2 separate regions of the Mus musculus genome follow, and region 2 is reported to be linked to region 1. Evidence: microRNA targets listed by miRTarBase, many of them from high-throughput screens and not tested one by one. Region 1 holds a microRNA gene; the other region holds the end of a gene's coding sequence.

The links. The annotated mature microRNA mmu-miR-3965 reads UGCUUAUCAGCCUGAUGUU and lies in region 1 at 2,218-2,236, shown strand. An mRNA with a match to its seed (bases 2 to 7 or 8) in the 3' UTR can be bound and repressed. Matches are read on the target gene's strand: a 7mer-m8 pairs with bases 2 to 8, a 7mer-A1 pairs with bases 2 to 7 and ends in A, and an 8mer does both.
Region 2: the mRNA of E2f2 is a reported target of mmu-miR-3965. Seed matches in the 3' UTR shown: 7mer-m8 at 2,854-2,860.

The regions. Positions count from the first base shown.
Region 1 is chr5:134,324,277-134,328,663 of GRCm38, forward strand. Mir3965 (microRNA 3965) reads left to right here and starts at 2,178; the gene lies at 2,178-2,246.
Region 2 is chr4:136,191,851-136,196,237 of GRCm38, forward strand. It overlaps E2f2 (E2F transcription factor 2), which reads left to right. Exons shown (of 7, transcript NM_177733.7): 7 at 907-4,207. The coding sequence ends at 1,187. Among named protein-coding and RNA genes, the nearest start is that of Asap3, 12 kb to the right of the region's middle.

The DNA.
Region 1 (4,387 bases):
AGCTCTGTCTCAGTAAACAAGGTAGCAATGGTAAAAGCAGGCAATCTTGTAGTCTCCTCATTCACAAGGATAGACACAAGGACACATTACCCACATACACTACACACAAACGTACTCACTGGTAAAAAAAAAAAAAAGGGGGCCTTAAGGAGGAGAAGAATACAGAGGCCAGGGAAAAGGTACATTTTAGTCTGTTTTTTGTTTGTTTGTTTGTGCTGTGTTTTTAATCAGTATCTTTTTAAGTTGTCCAGGCTGAGCCAGTAAGTTAACTCAGTGAGTAACGGCACCTGCCATGGAGTCTGGTGACTTGCGTTCGGTGCCAGGACCCACATGGTGGACAGAGAGAACCAAACAGTGTACACTGCTGGCTGGGAACTCAGCATCATCAGCATCTGCATCTCAAATGCTGGATTACAGACACACAGCATCACGCCTGGTGTGAGCCGAGCCTTGATGGAAACCTTGCAACTAGCCATTAAAGAAGAAGGGGAGAGGGGCTGGAGAGATGGCTCAGCGGGTAAGAACACTGACTGCTCTTCCAAGAGTCCTGAGTTCAATTCCCAGCAACCACATAGTGGCTCACAACCATCTGTAATGGGATCTCATGCCCTCTTCTGGTGTGTCTAAAGACAGCTACAGTGTACTCATATACATAAAATAAAGAAAAAGGGGAGTCTGGAAGGCAATGATTTTATGCAAGAATAACCTGTGTGTGTGTGTTTCTGGGGTTCCCTGGCAATCTACAGGTTTAGGGACTCCATTCAAAAAAAAAAAAAAAAAAAGTGAACAACTTTAATCCCAGCACTCTGGAGGCAGAGGCAGGTGGATCTCACTGAATTCAAGGCCAACCGGGTCTACAGAGTGAGCCCAGAACAACCATGGCTACACAGAGAAACCCTGTTTCAAAACAAAAACAACAACAGCAGTAATAATAATGTGGTGGACTGGCAGGCTGGCTCAGCAGGTAAAGCCTCCTGCTACAAAAGCCCTGGCAAGCAGAGGGCGATTCCCAGGACCTACATAAAGGTGGAAAGAGAGAATTAATTCCATGAAGTTGTCTTTGACCTCCACAAGCATGCCCATATCATGTACACACACACACACACACACACCAAAAATTAAACAATTTTTTTGTTTTGTTTTGTTTTGAGACAGTGAGACAGGGTTTCTCTGTGTAGCTCTGGCTGTCCTGGAACTCTCACTCTATAGATCAATTGGCTTTGAACTCAGAGATCTGCCTGTCTCTGCCTCCTGTGCTTGTACTAGTACTAGAGGTACATCCCACCACCACCAGGCAACAAATATATATATATTGTTTTTTCGAGACAGGGTTTCTCTGTATCACCCTGGCTGTCCTGGAAATCACTCTGTAGACCAGGCTGGCCTTGAACTCAGAAATCTGCCTGCCTCTGCCTCCCCAGTGCTGGGATTAAAGGCGTGTGTCACCATGCCCGGCGACAAATAAATTTTAAGGTGAAGCTGAGTATGGTGGTGCACACCTTTAATCCCAGCACTCAGGAGGCAGAACCAAGCCAGTTTCTGTGAGTTTGAGACCAGCCTGATCTACACAGCTAGTTCCAGGCAGTCCAGGGTTACCTAGTAAGACCCCGTCTCAAAAACAAAACAAAACAAAAATTGTGAAGATGCAATTAAGGAACATACCTGTCACCAGCCTTTGGCTTCCACACAAAGTGGAAGAGTGTACATGTGTCCACATGCATATGCCACACGCATGCATGTACACACATAGAAGAGCCTATACGGTCGGGGAAGTGCCACAGCGCACAGGAAACAGAGGAAAGAAACCCCACGTGCTAGATATAGCTATTATTCATAGTCACCATGAATTCTCCCAGATCTAGGAGCAGGTGCGGGTCAGTCTAGAGAAGGAGCCTGGCCTGGATCACAATGGTCCTTCAGTGCCAGCTAAGAAGTTTGGGGCAGACACGCTGGTCGCTGGTCGGGATGCCTGCCGTTCCAGCCTCTACTTCCAAACAGGATTACATCACCCACTCAGAGAGGCCCAACCAAGCTGCCTTTTTTTTTTTTTTTTTTTCCCTAGATAAGGTTTCTGTCTTAGTGTGTTTTCTATTGCTGTGATAAAGATCATGACCAAAAGCTACCAGGGAGGAGGGGTTTTGTTTGGCTTGCACATTCTGGCCACAGTTCATCGTGGAGGGAAGTCAGAGAGCTGCAGCTGAGTGCACAGAAGGCTGCTGCTTATCAGCCTGATGTTCAAGGCTTGCTCAGGCGGCTTTGGTTTCTGATCTTTTCCTTTCCTTTCCTTTCTCTTTCTCTTCTTGTTGCTGAGACAGGGTTTCTCTGTGTAGCTCTGGCTGTTCTGGAACTCACTTTGTAGAATAGGCTGGCCTCAAACTTAGAGATCTTCCTGCTTCTGTCTCCTGAGTGCTGGGATTAAAGGTGTGCACCACTATACCTGTCTTCAACCTGCTTTCTTTCTTGCTTTCTTCCTTTCTTTCTTCCTTTCTTCCTTTTTTCTAAAGAATTATTTATTTTGTGTATATGAGTACACTGTCACTGTCTTCAGAAGTTACCAGATCTCATTACAGATTGCTGTGAGCCACCATGTGGTTGCTGGGAATTGAACTCAGGACCTCTAAAAGATCAGTCAGAGCTTTCAACTGCTGTGCCATCTCTCCAGCCCCAACCTACTTTCTTATACCACCCAAGACCATCTGATTAGAGGTGGCACTGCCCACAGGAGCTGGGCACTCCCACATCCATCATTTGTAATTAAGAAAATGCCCTGCATACAGGTCAATCCAGTAAAGGCAAATCCAGATTCCAAAACTTGGATTCCTTCTTTTCAGATGTCTTATGTTTGTGTCAAGTTGGCAAAAAACTGATTAGCGAGATTCAGCTGTGTAGCCCTGGCTGGTCTGGAACTTGCTATGTAGACCAGGATAACCTCAAACTCGTAGAGATCTGCCTGTCTCTACCTTCCTGTCTCTAGTGCTGTTTTTGGTTTTGGTTTTTTGAGACAGGGTTTCTCTGTGTAGCCCTGGATGTCCTGGAACTCACTCTGTAGACCAGATTGATCTCAAATCCAGAGATCTCCCTGTATCTGTCACCCAAGTACGAGTATTAAAAGTATGTCTCAGGCTGGTGAGATGGCTCAGTGGGTAAGAGCACCCGACTGCTCTTTCAAAGGTCCTGAGTTCAAATCCCAGAAACCACATGGTGGCTCACAACCATCTGTAACGAGATCTGACGCCCTCTTCTGGAGTGTCTGAAGAATAGCTACAGTGTACTTACATATAATAAATAAATATTTTATGTAAGTTATTATATGTAAGTACACTGTAGCTGTCTTCAGACACACCAGAAGAGGGAGTCAGATCTTGTCACCAGCCCTATTTTTTTTAAAAAAGTATGTCTCACTACACACACACTTATCTGGGTTTGACCTTTAAAACTGGCAAACTTGGGCTGGTGAGATGGCTCAGTGGGTTAGAGCACCCGACTGCTCTTCCGATGGTCCAGAGTTCAAATCCCAGCAACCACATGGTGGCTCACAACCATCCGTAACAAGATCTGATTCCCTCTTCTGGAGTGTCTGAAGACAGCTACAGTGTACTTACATATAATAAATAAATAAATCTTAAAAAAAAAAAAAAGATTTACTTATTTACTTTATAAAAAAAATAAAATAAAAATAAAAAAAAAACTGGCAAACTTGAGGCAGGTTACCAGCTCTTGTGGTTGTTGCTGAGGACCAAGTTAGTTTCCAGCCCTCGCACGGAGGACCATAAACATCTGTATTGCCCACTCCAGGGGTTTGGAATCCTCTTCTGGATCTGTGGGCACCAGACATGCATGATGCGGTAGCACCCATGCACACCTGCAGACAAAACATGCATACACATAAAATAAAAATAAGTAAATCTGCCGGGCAATGGTCACATATGCCTTTAATCCTAGCCCTCAGGAGGCAGAGGCAGGTGGATCTCTGAGTTTGAGGCCAGCCTGGTCTACAGAGTGAGTTCCAAGACAGCCAGGGCTACACAGAGAAACCCTGTTTTGAAACGCACTCCCCACAATCCCCTGTGGAGGGGCTGGTGCTGTGACTCAAGAACAGAGCATTTGGAGGCAGAGGCAGGAGGATTTCTGAGTTTGAGGTCAGCCTGGTCTACAAAGTGAGTTCCAGGACAGCCAGGGCTACACAGAGAAACCCTGTTTCAAACAAACAAACAAACAAACAAACAAACAAACAAACAGAACAGAGCATTTGCCCCACATGTGCAAGGCTCTGGGTTTTTCCCCAGCCTGGTGTGTGTGTGTGTGTGTGTGTGTGTGTGTGTGTGTGTGTGTGTATGTGATAGAGAGAGAGAAAGACAGAGATAGAGACATACAGACAGACAGGTCA
Region 2 (4,387 bases), not on the chromosome of region 1:
GGTCTGCCTACTTGCAGTGCAGTCAGTCTTAACCACTAAGCTATCTTCCCAGCCTTTGCTTTGCTTCAATGTCTTGTTTCGTAGTCTCAACCGCATGGTACTTCTGCCTCTGCCTGCCAAGCGCCAGCATGAGAGGTCTAAGCCACCATACTCGGCATGAAAGTTTGCTCTAGCTTTTCCTGTAGGAATTTAATAGATTGAGATCTTGCGTTTGGTCTTTCGTCTACTTTGAACTAATTTTAAGAAATGGTTTAAAGGTCCAGCTTCACTCCTCTGCACGTGGACACCTCACTCTCCGGGGAACATTTGTTGAAAGGGCGGCCCCTTGGGGGGTGGGGTGGGAGGGCCAATGCTTTAAAAAAAAAAGATTTATTTTATCTTCTGTTGCTTATTTGTGTGTGGGTATGTGCATATGAACACAAGTACTCACAGAGGCCCAGGAAGGCATCGGATCTCTGGGATCAGGAGCTACCGATTGCAAGGTGTAGGCGCTGTGAACCCAGCTCGGGTCCTCTGCACAAACCACAAACTGCCCCCACTTCTTCAGCTCAGGAGATTGCTGTTTAAAGCTAGGCATTATCAGGGTGTCGTGGGCTGATGTAATGATGTAAGGAGAGTTGGGGAAGCTGGAAATGTAGGAACCAGAAAATGGTTTCCGTAGCAGTCCTGTAGGGTAGCAAGGTGGACTACATACAGAAGTCAGGGGTGGGGTGGGAGAGGGTAGGTTTTTTGGGAGCAGGTCACTGCACCCAGTGGAGGGGAGAAGAACACGGGAGAATGGAGTTTCTGTGACTGGAGCCTGGAGAGATCGGGTGTCTCCAGGCCACTAAGTGGAAGAGATGGAGGAGGGGCCAGCCATCGGAGAGCAGCCAGACATGACCCTTGTCTATTTGTCTCCCAAACCAGTACTGATACCCCAGCCGATACCACCGCCTCCTCCACCACCACTGCCGCCAGCCCCATCCCTCGTCCCCTTGGAAGCCACTGACAACATGCTGGAGCTGTCACACCCTCTTCTACAACAGACTGAGGACCAGTTCCTGTCCCCAATCCTGGCGGCCAACTCCCCCCTGATCAGCTTCTCCCCGCCCTTGGACCAGGACGAATACCTGTGGGGCATGGACGAGGGGGAAGGCATCAGTGACCTCTTCGACTCCTATGACCTTGGGGACCTGTTGATTAATTGAAGCGTCCTGCATCTGTCTACCTCCTCACAGACAGATTGACAGGCTCTCTGCCCAGATGGGGGACACCAGACACCAGGTGTCACCCTCCGTCTGCGCGGCTCTCTTCCAGCCTTCCTTAGGGCGGAGGCCAGCTAGGGAGATGTGGAGGATTCGGCTGGGGAGTGATATCAGGGCTAAGCCCTGACCCTCCTCTTCTGACCTCCGACCCCTTCATGAAGGACTACGGGTGCAGGTGGCCATGTTCAGGGAAAGGGCTCACTGCCTCCTTCTGAGGGGCAGGGGGACCCTGACTTTTTCAAGAAGCACTTAACGCCTTTGTATTTATTTCTAGTTCAGATGTGTTTGTTTGTCCACCCTGAGTTTTAGCAGGGAGATTTGTTCTAGTTTCTCCTCAGACAGGCCCACCCACGCCCAGTGCCTAAGCGCACATCTGGGCTTCCAGGGGTCTAGGCCAGCTCCTTGCCCCCCGTCCCCCCGTCCCCCCAGTGGTGCCTGGGTCTTGAGGGGACTATCCAGTTTGCTTGAATTAATTGCACTTAGGCTTTGTAATTTTAGAAAATGCCAGGCCCAGCCAAGGCACCGGCTTGGAATTCTCCATCTCCTCCATCCTAGAGAAAGTTCCAGTAGCTACTCTGGGGGAGGTAGCCAAGGGGGCTGGCTTCCTATTGGATGTCTTATCTTTCCTGAGCCTCCCAATGTAAATGTAGGCCTTCAGGAATTAGCCCAGAAGAGCTCCTGGGAAAAGCAGGAGGCCACGCCCGTGCCTCCTAGATGCCCTTCCTCAGGAGGTCAGAGACCTGGAAGGTGGAGGCAGAGAGGAGTGAGAAGAAAACAAGAAACACCCTGGGGTCTGCCCATGTTTCCCTGGGAGGATTATTTTTGTTTCTTGGTTGCAGTTGGAGGGGGAAGATTCCTTAAACACCCACTGTCCCAAAGCCCTCACTTCACTTCCAAGGTCAGATGTGACAGGAGCTTGGTGACAGGTTTGCACCTTTCCCCACTGGAGTGCTTCGGGGGTGAGGGGGCAGGGGTGGGGTGCTCTTCCCTGCAGACTAGGCCTCAGCAGCTCATGACGGGATAGGCTGGCGCCTGCCACCTCTCCTGGCATGGGGATCTGGGAAGAGCTCTTGGTCTCTCTTGTTCTGCCCATAGACTGACCATCCAGGGTTCCTGTGGTCAGGAGACGGCAAGAGTCCGCTTTTCTTCCTCGCCTTTCCAGGCATGGAGAATGGGCTTAACCAAGGCCACGTGTCCAGAGAGGTGTACCCAGGGGTGACGGGGTCTGAGAGGCCTTCCACCTACCCTCAGGGAGCCTGGGTTTCTCAGGGGCTCAGTGGGGCAGCACTTTTTGCTTGTTGTTGTTTTAAGTTTGTAGCATTAAATTGATTTAAAAGATGAAGTTGGCTATGCCAGGTAGGTCCGAGCTAGCTGACTGGGAATTTGAAGTTTGGATGTTGAGCTAATATGTACTGGTGCCCATTTGGGTTAATTTGTCTTATCCTCGAGTCAGCTTCCTGGTGCCACAAACTTAGTCCTGTCCGAGGAGTGGTCAGCGACTCACCCCCCCCCACACACACTTGAAATTTGTCTATTTTTACACCGAGTGTCCAACCTTTTGACATATGTGACCTCGTCGTCTCTAAAGTTCACCCTCAGGAACTGCATAGATAAGCTACCAAAAAAAAAAAAAATCTCATGATGTTTGAAGTACGTTTACAACTCTGTGTTGGGCTGTGTTCGTAGGTGTCTGCGACCCGTGCTGCAGGTTAGATACACCTGCTGCAGAGATGTCCTTGGTCTCTACCAAGCGAGGGGGGTTTCTCAGACCACCCAGAAAGCCCAGTGTGCTCTAGACACAGGGGGTCCCTTGAGTGATGAGGGTGCTACCTGAGATCTGGTTTGATGCACATGAGGCCGGAGACAGCATTGCTGTTTCCTGGTCTTTGCCGTTTAGCTGTGCGCCAACAGAGATATCTGACCTCTGTGCCTTGGGCTCTGGGTGGAGGAGAGCTTGGCTTAGCGAGAAGAGGGCTGCCATTCCTGTCTGGTGTGAGGTTAAGAATACAGTCCAGATTCAAGTTCAGTCAAAAGACCCAGCGCAGGGATGGATGGAGGCTTCCCCAGTCTTTTTGATCTCTGAGCTCTTTCTTATCAACCCTGCCTGGTCCAGGGGCTGGACCTCCCGGGAGAAGCCCGAGGCTAGCGTGGGAACAAGCTCACACCTCTTTCTTGCCAATGATACTTGAGACCTCTTTAAGTTCCTTAGAGTGCTTTAAAAGAACGGGGTGTACCCCTTTTGGAACACTGTTTTGAGTGGTATGTCTTTTAGGCCCTAGGGAAACGTTCATGCTAGGGTGGGAAAGCTACCAGTTTCTTTCTGAGGGGAATACTTTCTTCAGGGAAGTTTCCCAGCCCTACCAGTGTCCCCTGCTGATATCCCTGGGGACTCCAGAGCATTTAGCAGAATTAAACTTGTAAATAGGCTTGGAGATGCACCATTGAAGATGTCAGGCTGAGTCCCTTCTCTGTGTGGCTGTGAGGAGTGGGAGTTTGGGGGAGTTTGTAAACTATTTCAGGGGGTGCAGTGTGGTTTCCCCTCCCTGTGAGGCCTCAGCCTCTCTTCTGCACAGATTCCGTGTTGTAAAGAGTTTGCTCATGCCGCCATCGGTGTGCTATAGCTTTAACGCTTCTGAAACCTCTGGGGTTGATTAGAAGCCGGGGCTTAAGTTTCCGTCGTACCCAGAGGCCCCACCTCACCCAGGTCGTCTCTTCTCCCACAAGGCTCTTCAGGGACCGTGGTGGCTACAGGTCTGGCCAGCCTCTGGCTCCTAGGAAATATGCAGTCTTGTGGGGTTTGATCATTTTGAAGATACCTGGGGGTGGGAAGGTCTGGAGTCCCTGGGTTGGGACTCCATGTGGGTCACCTACCTCCTGGTTTCACCCAAAGTCCTGCCTTGAACCACCAGCAAGTTTCATTCTGTTGTGATAATTGGGCATTAAATAATGGCGGCTCTGGTAAACTTTGTCTTGGTGTGATTTCTTTTTGCAGATCTGGGGCTCCCACCCCTCACACACGTTAGATACGTGCCCAACCATTGAACCGTACCTCAGGCCTGTTGTGCTTCCTGTCTGCTCCCTTGACGGGGGGTTAGGAACATATTTTTCCAGCTGATGTGTCCTGTCTCTATGTCCTCTCTTCC